Linked DNA regions of Arabidopsis thaliana. The protein of the gene in region 3 interacts with the protein of the main gene of each other region in a pairwise test. Each region holds a gene or a part of one and is shown on either strand. Other genes may lie near its edges.

Region 1 (6,862 bases), on a different chromosome or scaffold from region 3:
CAGCAGGTATGAATTGGGAGTCACAGAATTATCAAACTCATAGAGAAAGCAGAAAAAACAAACTCAAGGACTCAAATTGGTGATAACTGTTTCATTGCAGGTGTGGTCAGGACCTTTATCTGGTGACCGTATGGTAGTTGCTCTCTGGAACCGTTGCTCTGAGCCAGCAACTATTACAGCATCATGGGATATGATCGGTCTTGAATCTACCATTAGCGTTTCAGTAAGAGATTTGTGGCAGCACAAAGATGTAACAGAGAATACTTCTGGCTCCTTTGAAGCTCAAGTTGACGCACACGACTGTCATATGTACGTTCTCACTCCCCAGACAGTATCACACTCTGATGTATAGTTCTTTATTGTGAGGCATTCAAATCCCAAAGAACAGAGATTGCCTTTGTGTTTCTGTATACTCGTGTATCTTGTAAAACGTGAAACCTGTTGTTACCCGGACAACTTTAAATGTTTGTCACTCTCTAAACAAATTGCCAGAAGTGACAAGAAGTAAAACTGAATCTCATATAAAAATTTAGATAAAAAGTCTGAAGGATCTTGATTCCAAAGAAAAGACAAATGCCAAATCAACTCTTAATCTATACCACTTTTGTATATTCTGACCTACCAACAATGAAGAAGAGATCTCTAATGAAACATTGGTCAAAACAAGTTCCTGATGGATCTTTTGAATCCTATATAGAGTTTTGAATACTAAATAGAGTTTGTCCATGTGGTTAAGAGAACCTAGTAATCCTGAAGGTGTCAAGATAACAACCAAAGCTTCGGTCACAGTCACTAAAAGTCAAGAGCCGTTCATGGTTTGGGAGGATCTGATACTCTCTTCTTTGCCATTTTCCAATACCAATGTGCTTGAAGTTCTAGGTTCTACTAGGTTTTCTGGTGGTGGAAATTGGCAATTGTCATCAAGCTCCAAATTCGCAGATCTTTGAGATTTCAGCACACTCTCTGGTCTCACACATTCTTCTCCTTTGTTACTGGTACAAGAAGTAGACACTTCACCGGAAAGATTGCAGCAACTACTGGCTCCATCATTGTCTATTGCCTCAGAGGAAGCTTCTAAATGATTCGTTGATGAGGTTCCAGTACCTGATTCTCTGAACCTGTCAGAGTATACCTGTTGACTCTGCAACAACCATTGAGAAGCAATTCAGAAGCTTGCAGCAATAAGTTAATTTTTAAGCCAAAATGTCCGTCAAAGGGGTTAATCGCATACCATGTCAGGAATATAAGTGCCGGTTCCTCTCGTCTTTCTCATGTTTTGACAGCCATTAGGTAAAGAATGCAAAGGAAAAGGCTGCATAGAGGTTGATACATTGAGACTTCTAAGATGGAACTCGTTCTTTCGGTAAGTCACAAGGTGACGAACAATATCCCAACCACTCAGGTGAGAACTAACCGGGATATAGCCATGCTGAAATGTTCCAGGTAAGCTATGCCCATGATACATTTGCCCATACACAAGTCTTCCAAAGGAACTATCGAAATCTCCACTAAGTTCAGATAATTCTGATCTTCCAGTACCGAAAGCAGTAACGGGATCATTCACATCTTGCCTTTGTCCCTTACCATTTCTCTCCAAAGAGTTACGAAAGAACTTCTCCAATCTCCATCCCATGGTGTCACCAGGTAGTGAAAGAACATCTCTTAGCTTTCGAGCTCCAAGTGTAAAAGCATGTCTTATTCGTTGGACATTTCCTAACAAAATGTTTTTAAAATAATTAATATTTGACAACTGCTATATTGGTTGTATAACTTTTATCAATAGAGTACCTTGTGTAACACTTTTGCCGAGGTTGTTGCTGTATTTTAGAGGATCAACTATGTTGAGATGTTTGATAGGAAACTCAAGACCATTTGAGTCAACAGCTTTAGTTGGAGCAGAATATAACTCTACACAGTTTCTTAAAAACTTCTCGTCAAGTAATAACTCATGCCCATTTTCTGGAGATGCTGCTGGAAAGATAGAAAGAGAAAGAACCAAATTAAAACGTCAAATAGCGCCAAGAAAATGCCACGAAGAGAAGTATCTGTGATTTTTGGCATCATCCTTACCTGTAAGTTCTGGAAGGGACGATATTGGCACAGGACCATTGACACTGATACAGTAGTTGTTCCAATCAAATGAACCATAGTAATCCAAGAACTTATACAGAACCTGTTGAAAGACAATGCTATATTCTCATCTTTTGCATATATGTAGAGGATGCTGAAGGTTCAGAAAAAGAGTGATTACCGCTAAAGGGCCAGATAAAGATGAATGAAACAGGTTGATGATGTACAAAACTAGTACTGCCAATGCATATGTTGAGATCAATCCAGTGTTAGCACCAAGAATTCGACTCTCGTAATAGCACCAAGCTTTGACAAGGATGATGCTACGCTTGAAAAGATGATCTCTCCCAAAGAGTTGGTCAACCTGAGAATACATAAAACCAGAGTTTAACCAACAACTAAGAATCAAAGCTAGGCAATAATCTGTTTAGTAAACCTCTGGAGCCTGATTTTGAATAGCTGATAGTACCTGCTCCAGAAAACATAAAGCACAGAGACCTGCCGTTTGATTAAAAGAGATATCAACAGCAATGTTCCTGATATTGCATTTTATGACCTTGACCTATCATATATCAGCAAACTTTCTTAAGGAAAATTTGGGCAACCAAGAAAATACAAAAACGAAACCAAAAAGTAAATAAACAAAGAGACCTGTGCAGGGATAAACTGAACATCTGTTGCATGGAATTCAGATTCTCTTTCTTCATTCTGAAGCCTACTGCACAATTGTCCATAAAAATCGTCATCCATATTTTGCTTAGTTAGGACAGTCAGATCGATATCCCCGTCCGGGAGATAGGTTTTTAGTGGCACTGAACCAAATGAAAAGACCTGTAGATAAACAAGTTCCCATAGAAAGTTAACAAAACAGCATAAATCTTTAACATGTCAGCAAAGAGAAGCGGAGTTTCTAACCTCAATTCCCTCATGACTCATGATAAGAGTTCGTACATAATCAATGATCTCATTCCTACTTCTGTCTGAAACAAGGGCAGGTTGGATAGTGCAAAGTATCTCATGAGCTCTCTCCTCTGCAATCATCCAAGAATCTGCATCTATCGGCAATGAATCTCCTTTAGGTAGTGCCGTTGATAGTGACAATGAGGATGATGAAGAAGACGAAGATGATGAAACTGACAATCTTTCTTGAATTTCACCCATGTGCGCATAACTTCAAACTAACATCAGAGTGATAACACAGGAATCCTCAACAACTCAATGAGCCCCTTATATAATTATGATATCTACAAACAACAGAACAAACAGAATTACAAAATATTTCAAATTGGCCTTTTTGTCATCACATTAGACAGAGAAAAAGAAAAAAATGAAGTCAAGGTAAAAGTTGATTGTCTAATAACTAGAGCTCCCAAATTTGATTAAGAACAATCGAGGCTAATCCAGAGAGTGAGTGAGATTACATCCTAAGCAAGAGACATAAAAAAATGAAACAGAGCATGCCAATAGTGAATTCAGTGTTAGGTAGGTACCCTAATGTTTAGCTTCTCAGAGCAAAATCGAATATTTATAAAGGAAAACAAAACAAAACAGCTAAACTATCCTGCGTGAGTGATGATTATACCTTAGGAAAAAATGACTATTAGCTCAGAAGTCTCAGCTCTGTCTCTTCCAAAATCATTTTTTTTTGTTGACAAAATTGAGAGGTTTAAGTAGTGAAAGGCGTACCTGCGGTTTTAGACCAGTTGTCCAGAGATTCTTTGGGCTAATCTTTGAATATTCAAGAAGCTTTAATTCCTGCTAACAAACAAACAAAAAAAATCAAAACTTGGAACAGGGTTTAAGATTTGTAACGAATCGACATTTTCACACGAAAAAAAATATGACATTTTGGTTTTCATCTTTAAGCTTCACAAGGACCACGAAGATGGATTAAGACAAAAGAGAAAACCCCAAAAATCAAAAAACGAGATTCACACGAAACATCATTTTGCTTTCTCCGATAACGAGGATTAAGAGGCAAATTAAGCTTGTATTCATTGGATTCCTAAAGATTAAGCAAAGATTATCTCACCTCGAAACAAAATTTCCAGCTTTAGTTTTTTTTGGATCTTATGGATAATAAACGTTACACCAAAAACTTTTTTGAAACACAAAGGGGAAAAGAAATAAAAACCCAGATAAAAACAGATATGAGTCAGTAAAATGAAACGGAAGGGATTGTTTACGAATACCGATTTGTATTCATTGATCAGGAGAAGAGAAACCGATACTATAAACTTTTTTTTAATTGAGGGGAGAAAGAGAATTATCACCAAGACAAAAAATTAAGGGATAATATAAGCAAAAATAAAATAAAAAATTATGGAAGGTTCATAATAGTGGAGACTCTAAAACAATCTGCCATTTTTGTATCAATGAGAAAAAAATTAACTTCACCTGCTCCTCTCAAATAATTTTCAACCCAAGAAAAAAAATAGATTTTCTTCATTCTTGTTGGAGACTCTTAGTCTCTATGATCTTCATGGTCAATGTTTTTGAATGATTCAACAAAAACCCTAATTTCTCCAAATTCCAAAACCCAGAATTCCAGAAACAGTAGAAACTCAATTCCATGAAAGGGAAAAAAGTGTATCGTATCTTTAGGTGGACTCGAGTATAGACGATTACACAAGTGGGACCCAACTAATCATAAGATTGACGACGTGGCCTACTAATACGAGGTTTTTATCTCTTCCGTACACGTGGCATAATATCGGACGGACTAATTTAGATAGACGATTAAAAAAAAAAATCAAGCAAAACAATCAGATTTTTTTTTTCCCGCTATGTTGTTGACTCTCTCTCCTAAAACCCTATCTTCTTCTTCCTTCTTCACTGTGCACAAATCGCAAAACCCTAAATGTAAATCTCCAGATTCATGTCGATTCAAGAGCTTGAAATGTAGTTTTGATCGAATTTTAGTGAAATCCGAGGTTCAAATTGAGAGGAATCTCGAATTTGAAACGGGAGAGACATTTTTCCGCCATGAAAGCGCTAGAGGACGAGACCTCGGTGTTTTGTCAGCGACGCTATACAAGAGATCTAATGGAAGCTTACGGGTACTCGACGCAATGTGCGGATGTGGAATTAGGTCGCTTCGTTATCTTGTGGAAGCTGAAGCTGATTTCGTGATGGCGAACGACGCAAATGATGATAATCGGAGAGTGATTACGGATAATTTGAGTAAAGTAGAGAGAGGTACTGGAGATGAGAGGAGATGGGTTGTGACTCATATGTTGGCTAATAAAGCGATGATTGAGAGATATATGGTTGCGGATTTCTTCGATATGATTGATATTGATTCGTTTGGAAGTGATTCTTCGTTTTTGAGAGATGCGTTTAATGCATTGAGATTGGGTGGTTTGCTTTACTTGACGTCGACTGATGGTTACTCTTCTGGTGGTCACAGACCTTATAAGTGAGTGAAAGCAATACCATTAGTCTTTGTGGTATTTTAGGAATCATGATATGATTTAGGGACTAGGAGATTGAAAGTTGAAAAATTTCTTGGTTTGTTTTGGTGTAGTTCTTTAGCAGCTTATGGAGCATTTATTCGACCAATGCCGTTTGGGAATGAGATTGGGCTGCGGATGCTTATAGGTGGAGCAGTGAGAGAAGCTGCTCTGCTTGGTTATCATGTTACGCCTCTTTTCTCGTACTATTCTTATCACGGACCTGTGTTTAGAGTCATGCTGAGGGTTCACCGTGGGAAGCTACATGAGGACAGGTTGTTTCTACATTTAGAATTTGACTCGAAAGGAATTGAGTTTTGGTTATGTTGCGTTTCTAATTGGAGTTGTTTTGTGTCTTTTAACTGTAGGAACTATGGTTTTGTCACGCACTGTAATCTATGTGGCCATTCTCATACATTGAGATTCGATGAACTTGGTTTGATGGGATGTCCCTGCAGTGATACAAAGGCTTCTTCTTCACTGGTTGTGTCAGGACCAATGTGGCTCGGACCGCTTCATGATGCATCCTATGTTACGGAAATGCTGGAATTGGCAAAGGAATGGGGATGGGTCAGTGAAGGCACTGGCATGGATCTGGACAAGCTTCTCAGTATAATGATTGAAGAAAGTGATCCCAGACTACCACCTGGATACACAAAAATGGATGAGGTCCTCTAAAACCATGATTTTAATTTCATTGATAAGATAGACGCATTTCATTCACATTACATGATAAAAGATTTGTTTTCGTGATTAGATGGCGAGCCGTGCGAAGATGAACTCACCTCCGTTGAAGAAGATGATGAGTGCACTAGTTAAGGTAAATAGTAGTTAGATTCTCACAGCTTTGATCTCTGAAGAAACTGATCTGAAGGTACAAAGTTAAAAAGCTCTGCTCCTTGGATTTTTGCAGGAGGGTTACGCTGCTAGCAGATCTCACATTATTCCCAATGCTCTTAAAACAGATTGTCCCATGTCCCATTTTGTTAGGATTGCCAAGGAAAATTTGCATAGTTAACTTTTTGTTATAATCAAGTTTAGAGATTTTTTTAAGCCTCTGATTATACTTTACAAAGCAATCATACCCAACACTCGACTATATTATTTGTTGCTTTATGCTAAGTAGGGAGATACAAGTACTTAGCATCGCTTAAGAACGAGCGAAGCTTCGGTCATTAAATATTTCTCTGAAAAGAAGGTATGAAGTTGCAAAAATCAAAAAAGAGGAAAAATCTTGGTCAAATCAACTGGTAAAATGGTCTGAAACGTTTAAAGCTCCAATATGGCGAAATCATCTTTAACAAAATGTAGAAAACATCTTCAAAAATTTCAGACAAAAG
Region 2 (5,586 bases), on a different chromosome or scaffold from region 3:
ATATTTGTATATGTGTGTGATATGGACCAACTTTATTTAGCGTACTTGTTGAGATCATGGAAAGAAATCTTTTGAGGAGTTTAGCCTTTTTCTAATACAAAGAGTAGAATTATGCTAATATCAAGTTAAGGTTTTAGTTCTTCAATAAATTAGGATTTAATATTTTCTATTTTTATATGATTTAAGATATTCCGGGTTAAAGCAGAAGTCTTACCAAACTCATACATAGCGTTTCGTAAACAATTTAGATCAATGTCATACATGCGCTTGAGTTATTTTTATTGGACCTAAAATTTACTTGTTTAGAGAAACTAAGGTTTCCTACAAAAATGTACTCGTTTTAATCAATATTTGTTGAGATGTCTTAATCAATTTAAGATTAATGATCGAACAACACACATAAGAGAACGCCTTTTCATTTTATGCCGGAAGTTATACGAACATTTTTGGCCCCAACCATATATAGGCCGAGGTTAAAAAAATTGCATAGCATAATAAGCATGACATTAAATAAAAAAGCTTAATACATTATTTTGCTATAATACATGATAGTGACGAGATGTAATGTATATATGTATATATACACATATAGTACATGACTTTATATGTTTATTTGTTATAAATTAAAAGAAAATAACACCTACATATATAGTTTTTTTTGTCATTTGGACTTTGGAGAGTAATGGGGGAGAACTCTTTCAGAAGAAAGTGATCGTGTATGGAGTGAAGTCCAAGTTAGTTACTGAAAATATATACTAAAAAAGGGAGAAAAAATAAAAGAAAGAAAGTGAAAAAGTAGAGCCTTAGAAAATCAGCATTAAATTAAATAGGTCGATCACATCGTTTTTTTTTTTTTTTTTATTTCTTTAGAAAAGAGTGTACTTGAAGTAAGGAAGCTAAGAGTATGGTTGAAGTTAGCTTAAGAAAATGGTGATATAGAAGATAAAATCTCAAAGGAAAACTCATTGGATATGTCTAAGAATGTGGAGTTCTTTGGATTTGAATTCATTGTGTCTTCGATTTTTAGTGACTGTGCACAGTGTTCTCCACAAACTATTATATATATATATATATATATATTTTGGTAACCTAATCAAAGTTCATTTATCCATTTATTTTTATGATTTGTTGTATCATCATTGTTCAGTAAGACTAGAAACTTAGAAACAAATTCTTATGATTATATCTAACAGAAAAAAAAAATGATTAGATCAGTTTACACTTTCTTAATTATCAAGATATCGTAACAAGAAAATGATCAACCCTTCACTATATGGTTTACTTTAGTTCATCTATATATTGCCTGACTTTTTAGCTAACTAATGAAAACTAAGTTAAATTAAAAAAAAAAAAAAAATTGTTGCTTAAAGTTAAATATAATTATAATTTTTTTGAGGCCAGAATTTATATATAAAATATATATTTGTCTTTGCAACTTAGCAAGAAAACATCGTCCTAGGGGAAAAACTCATGAAGAACTTTTTATTTGGTTAACTCACAAGGAATATTTTGCTCTTCATGGATTGTAATTATACAACAAATGAAGTAATGTTAGATGTTCAAGAAACACTACATTTTACACCTATAAGAAACTATATTATTGTAATCGTGAAGTCTAGTATTTATTAAAAAAAAAAAAAGCTAGTATCTATCACTTTAAAAAAAACATAGAAGCTTTTCTTTCTCTGTGTGTATAGTAGTAAAACAAAAGAAGATACAGACTGGAGTCATGTTTCCTTAAGCCTATGAGTAATAGACTTTTATGTAGTTTAACAAAAAAAAATGGTAACATGTATTTGGAAAAAGTCTATTCTTTTACTTTGCAACACGTAGTCTAAAGAGCGAGCTTAAGCCAAAAACAATGGGAAGAAAACTAGCAAAAAAAAAGAGCAAAATAACAAAAATTAGATGATCAATAAAATATTGGAATTACATGTACGCGTAAACGTCGTATATTTTCCTTCGTGCCATTTCACCTTCCCATTATCTCATTGACTTTTCTTATCCCATATACGGTAGGAGCAAAACCATGTATGACTAGAATTATACGCGTTAAACAATTCTAGAATTTCTTACCTAAAACTAATAAATTCCGTATTTACTCTTCTAATTACGTTAACTCTTTACTTAAATGACAATTTAATGGGTTTTTTTTTTATTATCTTCCTTTACATAAATAAGCTTTGTTGAAAACATAAAAATATTGATGTAACTTTAATTTAAACCATTGATTTATAAAAACAAAAACAACTTTTTATACAGCTAAGCAAGGTTTGTGAATAAATCATCTTTGGTAAAGTCTCAATGAGATATGGAACCCACATGAGGGAGGTGAGATTACGATTTTTTTTAAAATATTTTAGAGAGAGAGAGAAGGAAAGAGACTTCCACATGAAGACAGGGTAAGGAATGGTAAAATACAGCTAGCAAAAGAAGTGTTTCTCACACCTAACTCTTTATAATAATAAGAGAGAAGCATCACCCCCATTGCTCTCCATTACTCATTTTTTTTCCCAATCAATCACTCTTCACTTCTCCCCACTCCTTACTCCTTTTTTTTTTGCCTTTCTAAGCAATCTCTCTCTTCTTCTTATATTCTCATATTTGATTCCTTTTCTCTCTCATACGATCTGCACACCACTACTAAGAACAACAGAGGTTTGATTTCCTCCTCCTCCTTCTTCATTTTTGGTTTTCTTTGGAAATTCTTGAAATTGTAATGTTTTTTTTTGGAATCTTGATGAGTTTTTGCATAAATCAAGAAGTGTCGGTGGAGGCATTTATTTCACACCAATTGTTCTGAATTCAGTTTTGTTTTAACACTCTTTTTTTTTTTGTAACTGAAAAATTTGTGTTTTCTTCTTGGTTTTCACACAAGAATTCTAGAAGATTGATAGATAAAATCAAGAATGCTTAATTAACGGTGACTTTTGACTTTTATAACCTTATAGTCTACTGTGATTTGAATTTGTACATAGAATGGTCCTCTTTATTTACTTATCAAAAAAAAAAAAAAAAATCAAAAAAGGTGGGCCAAAGAATGTTTATTTTTCAAAATTTTGATTTTTAAGGTGGTTCCAAAATTTGGTTCAAAATTTTCAAAACTTATTCAGAAACTTCCTCTGTTCAAACTCTTGTCATTTTCCTCTATAATATCATTAACCCCATCTCTCATTATTTATTCCAGCTAGAGAGACTTGCAATAATTGTAAAACATGATTGGAACAAGCTTCCCCGAGGATCTTGATTGTGGCAACTTCTTTGACAACATGGATGATCTCATGGACTTTCCCGGTGGAGATATCGATGTCGGTTTCGGCATAGGTGACTCCGACTCTTTCCCTACCATCTGGACCACTCATCACGACACGTGGCCTGCCGCTTCTGATCCTCTCTTCTCTTCCAACACCAACTCTGATTCATCACCTGAGCTCTATGTTCCGGTTAGTTCTACGCCCTCTTCGTAACGTATGATTTCAAACATTAAACCACAAGTTTCGTGAGTAATAATAAATGAAATTTTGTCATTATGGGTGGCTTTTAGTTAAGTCAAGTTTGTTTTTTTCCCGCTCATTATTTGTCTTACATTGTTTGGTTAGTTTTATGCTAACTTACGCACTCTGCTTTGTTCTGTTTTTGCCTTTGTTACCATATCACAAAGTTTCTGTTTTTATAGTTAAATGAAGTCTTTTTTTTTTGGCGCTTAATTGTTTCCCTATCTAACAATGTTTCTTTGATTGGGGTGAAATTGCAGTTTGAGGACATTGTTAAGGTGGAAAGACCTCCAAGCTTTGTAGAGGAAACATTGGTTGAGAAGAAGGAAGATTCGTTTTCGACAAACACTGATTCATCATCTTCTCATAGCCAATTCAGGAGCTCAAGTCCAGTGTCGGTTCTCGAGAGCAGCTCCTCCTCGTCTCAAACCACCAACACAACCTCCCTTGTTCTCCCTGGAAAGCACGGTCGTCCACGCACAAAACGCCCTCGTCCACCTGTCCAGGATAAAGATAGAGTCAAAGACAATGTGTGCGGTGGTGACTCGCGCCTCATCATTAGAATACCGAAACAGTTTCTCTCTGATCACAACAAGATGATCAACAAGAAGAAGAAGAAGAAGGCCAAGATTACTTCTTCCTCTTCTTCGTCCGGGATTGATCTTGAAGTCAATGGAAACAACGTCGATTCGTATTCTTCAGAGCAATATCCGCTTAGGAAATGTATGCACTGTGAGGTCACCAAGACTCCACAGTGGAGGCTTGGTCCAATGGGTCCAAAGACACTTTGCAATGCGTGCGGTGTACGTTACAAATCAGGGAGGCTTTTCCCGGAGTACCGTCCAGCTGCTAGTCCAACATTTACTCCAGCTCTTCACTCAAACTCACACAAGAAAGTGGCTGAAATGAGAAACAAGAGATGCAGTGATGGTAGCTACATAACCGAAGAGAATGATCTGCAAGGGCTGATTCCGAACAATGCCTACATTGGCGTAGACTAAAACATAGAGAAGATGATTCGATTTCCATGCGTTGAAGTGATTAGATATGCCAGGAGTAGGAAAGAGTCAGTGAGAAGAAAAGTTTTTAGCTTTAGAAGAGATGAAGGAAGAGAGCAATCAATTGGAGGGATTAAAAGTTAGATGAGAATTGATTGTGTTTGTATTATTTTGTATTTGTAGTGTGAATGGGCAAAAAACTCTTGAAACAGAGGAAAAGTAAGTTGAGGAAGAGCAGAAGATTTTGAAGACATTAGAGAATCATTAGGTGTTGAGTATTACATTAAATCTTCCTCTTCTTCTTTTGTTCTTTCAATTCTTTGTATTTTTATTGTGAGGATTCTCTTTTTTTTTCTTTTTTTTTTTGTAGTTGATTTGTTTAGCTAAAGGATTCTTTTTTTTTGTTTTTGTTAAAATCCAATGTTATAAATTGTTAATTATTAAATGGTTTTCTTACCATTGAAACTAGACATTGCTAATTACATTTTTGTTTTTGTTTTGCCGACAAGCTAAATACATGTCTAACATGACATAGTAATATTACTGGCTGATTCAAGTCTAAAATAGATTAAAAAGGTTTCTAGTTTATGAAAGTTTTTATGGTTAAGTTAGAGTTAGTGGCGAGTTTAAATCAGTGTTTTATGATACAAGCAATAATGTAAAATTAAATGGAGATGAGAGATAGAGTAACAACCACTATATCTTTTTCTAACAAGGACTTCACAAACTAGCTTTTATGTAAATCCACCCATCTATGATGCCAATTTAAAGTAAGAGTGTTTCTTAATTTAACTACCTTTCTTTCAAAACTCACTCATTTTCTTTTTCTTTCATAATTATTGAAACTAATTTTTTCAGCATATTAAATTTGCTGAACAATGATAAAACAATATGAACGAATGATTTTAGTATTTAACTTTCGTCCTCATGTAGCCATGTTGTTATTTTCAAACCATAAAGAGGACTTAAGAGTCGTCAGATAAAACAATGATATTTTCGTATTCGTCGATGCACTAATAACCAACTCGATTGGACAACATATCTTACTTCATTCACGATTTTGATGATTTCACCGAACAATTTTTTCTTTCTTT
Region 3 (5,901 bases):
CCGAACCCGACCCGCTTTACCCGAATGCCCGCCCCCTAATATGAAGTGTAAAAATAAAGCAAAAAAACTGGTCGACGTCAAATAAACAACGGAAAATCCAGTCCTCAGCACATCGACAACGTGAATTCAGGTCGAGAAGAAACCCAAAAACATCACTTTCTTAGATTGTTTCTGTTTGCAAGTAATGATAATAGTAATATATTTTTGGTCTGAAATTAATGTACACTATTTATTACGCGAAAATGAAATGTGCCGACCACTTAAATAATTTGTTAGGAAATGATTCATTCCATTTAAGTAAACAAAAAAGAGTTAGAAGGTGTCTAGAAAAATCGGTGGAGGGACCAAACACTGAACACTCCATCAAGTCAATTTACAAATCTAATCTAAGGTCCACGTTCTTTGATTTTTCTCCGTCACATGTTTGACATTTTTGTCTTCAGAGGTCCCACTTTTCTTTTCCATTTTATAACAAGTCTTTTCAATTTTGTTAATCTATTTAATTCTAATTTTCTAAATTTTAAATCGATATTCAAATATACAAAAATCTTATAAAAAATTATAATTTTCAGAATAAATCAACAATTTATACCTTTTACAATATTGGTAACTAATAGCTCTTAGCTATAGCTGTAAGCTTTTTCAGAATACTGCAACAATATATAAAAAAAATTATACTACAAGAAAGCTGTGAAAAAAACTAAAAATAGAATTTTTGATAACACTTTTGTGATTAGTAACTGTCAAAACTTTATATTTTGTAACGTTTTTTACCGTTTGGTAAAGTGATTATCAATAACATCATAATATATGTTATGCAATAAGTGTATTTTTAAAATTCTTGTGTCAAGTAAAAAAAAAACACTATAGAGATCGATTTTATTATACCTCTACAAAAACAACTAATTGATTTTTCGTGTTTTGTTATATATTCTTTGTAACTTGAGGTTGAATTAGGTATTTTATGTCAATATTTATATTGAAAATTCAAAACAAAAATTACTTCAAAACGGAACAAATCATGATGTATAAATCAGAATTTATAATGTGTCACCATTCAGATTTAAAGATAGACAATTCTTTAAAACACACAAAAATACCACATTATAGTGATCCAGTGATCAATAAAACACACAAAAATCATCAGCTTTGATTTATGTATTTGGGTAAAAACAGTTACAAATATGATGAGATTGTTACACTTGCTACTCCTTTAAAGTATTACTGAGGTACAAGAACAAGACCCTCTCAATCAATGTTTATCAAGAAACAAGAAACCACTCTTTTCAACAAATCAGCACTTATAATATATGACATCTCCCATTGATGCTACTTTAAAGCTATTCTACACCCAAAACGTTGAAACCGCTGTACTTGTGTGTTAAGGAAACGCTCAGTCCTCTTCACGGCTGCCACTGCTACTCCAACCACTGGACAAACACGGTATATTGCGACCAGGGAAAAAAGTAATCTCCTTGCCACTTGAGACCAACAAGAAAAACAAAAAGAGATACAAAATCTACATTTGAACTCATCAGTATATAGCAACGGATTTGTTTCAGCCACGGTGAGCCATTCTTGAGAAGTAGTTGAAGTCATGGTGTTGGACTCTTAGCTGTTTTAGCCAAGAATCCGCAACACTTAGAAGCGAAAGAACTCGCTCTTGATCTTGACCTTGATCGTCTTCCGAGAGCCAAACATTGCCTTGCATCTTATAAGTGGCTAACCCAAAAGGAAGCAAAGTTACACCTTCTCCTTCCTTCCGGATCCTCTCCTTTTCCCCGCCATTTTCTTCTGGCTCCATATCTGAAAATCAAGACCATAACGGTTACATATTCGCGGGATATAACACATCGAAGGACTTGAATCCGAGAGGATTGAGAAGATTAGTACCTTGGAAAGAAGATGAAAGAGTGTGATAAGTGAGGAAACAAGTGGACAAATCTTTGATGGTCCTTCCCATTGGAATATGGTAAATAGGGTACCACGCTACCGCCATCCAACTTGCCGGGGAAAGATCTACGCTTCGCAACGACATTAGTCCCGGGTACCTTTGAGCCAATTCATTGATCTGAAATCAACCAAAATCATATGTCTCATTTCAAGTCTTGAATAATAATATATTCTAATCTATACATACATACTTTTTCGCCTATTGCTAATTAGGAATCAACCAAGTGACTAATCCTAGTAATCAAAGAAGCTGATCTTATGAAGCTGCATTGAGTTACCTTATCCATGAGAGGAACTCGAGCATAAGGAGCTGATCTCTCAAAGTATTGCAGATAAAGATATCCCAACCGATCATTAGGATGCAAGAGAGCGTCATGTTCAAGTCCTTCATCAGAAGCACATCTCGAAAGTTTATCACTTTCACTCTCATCACTATATGAATCACTAAACGAATCTCTGCTTTCCCCATCTTCAGAATCATCCCTAATCAAGAACAACCCAAAAAAAAGAGTCAGTCACAATAGATTCATCAAAGGATCAAACTTTAAAATCTAAACGTATCAAAGCGGCAATATAAAAAGCAATGAATGGTACCTTAAGCGGATCAAGGAAGAACGAGAGGTGAAAATCTGAATAGCAGAGAGATAGGGAACATAATATTGAACAAGAGATTCTCCATTAGAGAGACGAATTGGAACACCAGCTCCATAAGCACTCCATTCATCATAACAATCCCATAGATCACTCAATCTGAAAAACTCAACCTTTTGTCTCTCCCATGGATGCCAAATCCTATTCAAACTCCTAATCTCCGCCTGCCAGAATCCACAACCAATTTAAATATTACCATTAAGAGAAGAAAGAAGAAGAAGAAAGAAAGAATGATTCAAAACCTTGGATAGAGATTGGGGTGGCACTACAGGTGTTGTGCAATGAAGGAATCTGTCAAGGTTTGACCCTTTTCCAAACACCATGATGGGATTCTTGTAAGAGAGAAAGAGGGGTTTCTTGATTCTTTTCTTTGAAATAACCCAGAAACCAAAAGAGAAAGAGAAAGAGAGAGTTTAAGAGAGGGAGACACGCAAGCGAGTGTCTGAGATTTGACGTTAGGACAGCTGAATTTAAGGAAAACGGAAATTATGGACAAGAAATTTTTATAACTTTAAAAATATCAATTTGAAGAAGAAAAAACCGAAATCTGCTCAGTTACTTGCAGAAGAATGAAAGAAAAGTCTTCTTTTTTTTCTGTGGAGAGAGCCTATTTTACGGTAGTTTTGTTTGTTTTTTATGATCGGAAAACCAGAAACGAGAAAATTCCAAAACAGAGGAGAAAAATGCAGACTTGTCAAGAAAATAAAAAAAAACAGAGTAATTTTTGGTTCTGTTACAATTTTGCCGGAAAAAGGAAAGACCAGTGGATATATATTGAGAGACGAAACAGAGGTGGAGAGGTTATATATATAAAGGTGAGAGAATCGATTTGCTTTCTCTAGAAAATATTCTTTCTTTTACTTGATCAAAATCCTCTGTTTTTGGGTTTTTTCTTTTCTTTAAATTTAGACGATAAAATATAGAAAAGTTGAGATTAAAATTGAATTAAAAAGGATAAAGACAGATTTGAGGAAGAGAAGGTTCTGAATTCTGGATATTAATAAGAAAAAGTACAACAAACACCTAATCAATCAAAAATTTATCTCAAAGTTTGACGATTTTCCTCGTCCATAGCTTATGATCCTCACGTGGTTTGGTTTTGTTATATTTAATCTCTTTCGTCGACTCTATTTTTAAAGTATTCGATTAGAAAAATTCATTCTAGAAAAAAAACTAGTCGATAATACTTAAGAGTTAAAGAACTTTCTACATGTACAATGTTGTCTAAAAATACTACATGAGCATAAGATTGTGATTAGTGTGGTAGTTTTGCTGTGAGAATTGTTAATGCCAGTGTATAAGAACATTAATCGAGCATTTTTATTGTTTTTTATCGTGGAAATTTTCAGTACATATTACGGAAAATGTTATTTGTTCATATGACGTATTTGAAAAGTTGTATATAATTAGGCTGCCTAACTTATTATCATTACTAGTTTCAGTACTGTGTATTTTGATTGGCTATCATGATACAATGTGGTACGTTCGTAGGAAGAGAAATAAAATGTTAGTCCTAGAAAATATTGTTATTGATGGTTACTGCTTAGTACTTACTATTATTGAGTCTATAGTATACTATACAAATTTTTTATAATTAATATGAAAAAAACTTAGTTCTGAAAGTTGTTATTATTTAAATTATTTTATTTTTCTTTCATGTGATATATATAGAAATATATATTATAAGTGCACCTTAACATACAAAAAAGAAGATTATTCGTTCAACTGGTTGATAAAATCAATCGTAGGTAAATATTTATTTCGAAAATAATATTTAAATGAAGTCAAATATAGAAATAAAAATATATTATTTTTCTTTCAATTTCAGCAAAATTAGGTTTTGCCAATTTGAGGTAACTTGATGTTTAGGGTATTTAAAACTAGGTATCACAAAAAAAACTGAAGTTACGCTCTATTTGGCCGTTATTGCTCGCATATTTCATATTTTATTAGATACAATGATCGTATACAGTACTTACTTTTCCTAATTTATGATATAAGAGTATATATAGACTTGAATTACTATTTACTAACACAAGAAGTTATAATAAATCGAAATAGTCATTGGACGGACAATAAAAATCAAACGAATCAACAGTTTTGGACGTAATATTGGGGAAAAATGGTTGTGACGTGTGATTTTGTAACTAATTATGCAAATCAATAATCTCTAATAAATATCACGTTATTGAACGGTACGTCTACTAATTGTAACATCAGTAGTCACAAGCAAATCACGTGAAAAATGTCAATTACGTGGAAGCATACCAACTTTTCTGAATTTTGTGGTTTTGGCCTTTGCGCCATGTGGTAGTTTTCGTGACACGTGCCGAATTAACTTAATTTCTATTTACCTAATCTATTGATATTTATCAAACCGAATTTGTAAATTGAGAAAACCGGTATGTTGGTAAGGGTAAATGACCGGTTTATCTGACGGCGGGATGCTAGATGGGTGTGATGACTAAGCGATCATCGTGATTTGGGGAACTGAAAAAGAAGTTGATGAGAGTGACGTTGTACGACCGATGGCTGAATCTAAAATGTTGGATTTTTACCAAGTGACGTTATTTGTTATCCACCACATTCCACAGCTACAAAAAGATTTGGATCCTATCGTATTGAGAAAAGAGTTTGGGCCTAAATCCAGTATCTTGGATCTTTTATATGTTTGAGCCCAAATAGGTCCGACGATTTCTGTAAAACCCAATGAGACTCACAAGGCCTCCTCTTAGGACAACTTTGATTGATCTACGTATGTAGATGGAATTTCGGATTTAGAATTAGTAACTGATGATGTAAAAACAAGAACACGAGTACACACAATATTTAACATATAATATGCAGCTCATTTACATTGCTTTGCTAAATTTGGATTACACTGACATTGAATATTTGTTGGTCATAATACTTCTTATTAGGCATGCAGACATAACACACATAAGTGATCAAACTCAAATCTAAAATTTAGGCCGGTTTATCCCTGAAGTTGAGATAATCATTGTTGGCAAAATTAATCATTAGACTATTTATCTACAATGGTTACTCATTTACAACACCCACTTTTTCACTTTTAACACTCCACATCATCTTTTCTTTCTACCACATCATTATTCAACACCTACATAATTTTTAACATTACAACAGTTTTGTTTAATAAAATTACAATATCTTACTCCACCATTTTTATTTTATATTTTAACCTATTTTTTTTTTTGGGTCTAAAAATGGTTTTTTATCTTGTATCTAAATCAAATGAAAGTAGTCAGAATGAAAAATTATAAATTTTCATATAAA

What was found. Proteins that work in one complex are often made in the same cells at the same time.
Region 1: the proteins of AT4G03420 (region 3) and AT3G56320 interact in a two-hybrid assay, tested with the Arabidopsis thaliana proteins (one large-scale study listed by BioGRID).
Region 2: the proteins of AT4G03420 (region 3) and BME3 interact in a two-hybrid assay, tested with the Arabidopsis thaliana proteins (one large-scale study listed by BioGRID).

Annotation. Positions count from the first base shown.
Region 1 is NC_003074.8:20,885,394-20,892,255, forward strand, and holds AT3G56320 (PAP/OAS1 substrate-binding domain superfamily), read right to left. Parts: upstream 4,411-6,862; 5' UTR 4,103-4,410; intron 3,910-4,102; exon of another isoform or gene 3,826-3,909; 5' UTR 3,757-3,825; exon of another isoform or gene 3,561-3,756; intron 3,315-3,560; 5' UTR 3,232-3,314; coding exon 2,986-3,231; intron 2,902-2,985; coding exon 2,722-2,901; intron 2,633-2,721; coding exon 2,540-2,632; intron 2,435-2,539; coding exon 2,252-2,434; intron 2,174-2,251; coding exon 2,071-2,173; intron 1,972-2,070; coding exon 1,789-1,971; intron 1,714-1,788; coding exon 1,232-1,713; intron 1,142-1,231; coding exon 800-1,141; 3' UTR 501-799; downstream 1-500. Other genes in the region: AT3G56310 (Melibiase family protein), read left to right, coding at 1-6, 101-352; AT3G56330 (N2,N2-dimethylguanosine tRNA methyltransferase), read left to right, coding at 4,857-5,488, 5,597-5,797, 5,891-6,191, 6,280-6,342, 6,436-6,540.
Region 2 is NC_003074.8:20,293,742-20,299,327, forward strand, and holds BME3 (Plant-specific GATA-type zinc finger transcription factor family protein), read left to right. Parts: upstream 1-2,388; 5' UTR 2,389-2,658; intron 2,659-2,674; exon of another isoform or gene 2,675-2,923; intron 2,924-3,187; 5' UTR 3,188-3,215; coding exon 3,216-3,443; intron 3,444-3,754; coding exon 3,755-4,495; 3' UTR 4,496-5,086; downstream 5,087-5,586. UniProt on the Arabidopsis thaliana protein: Transcriptional activator that specifically binds 5'-GATA-3' or 5'-GAT-3' motifs within gene promoters. May be involved in the regulation of some light-responsive genes.
Region 3 is NC_003075.7:1,509,252-1,515,152, reverse strand, and holds AT4G03420 (hypothetical protein (DUF789)), read right to left. Parts: upstream 3,557-5,901; 5' UTR 2,928-3,556; coding exon 2,847-2,927; intron 2,769-2,846; coding exon 2,548-2,768; intron 2,437-2,547; coding exon 2,232-2,436; intron 2,072-2,231; coding exon 1,894-2,071; intron 1,807-1,893; coding exon 1,559-1,806; 3' UTR 1,081-1,558; downstream 1-1,080.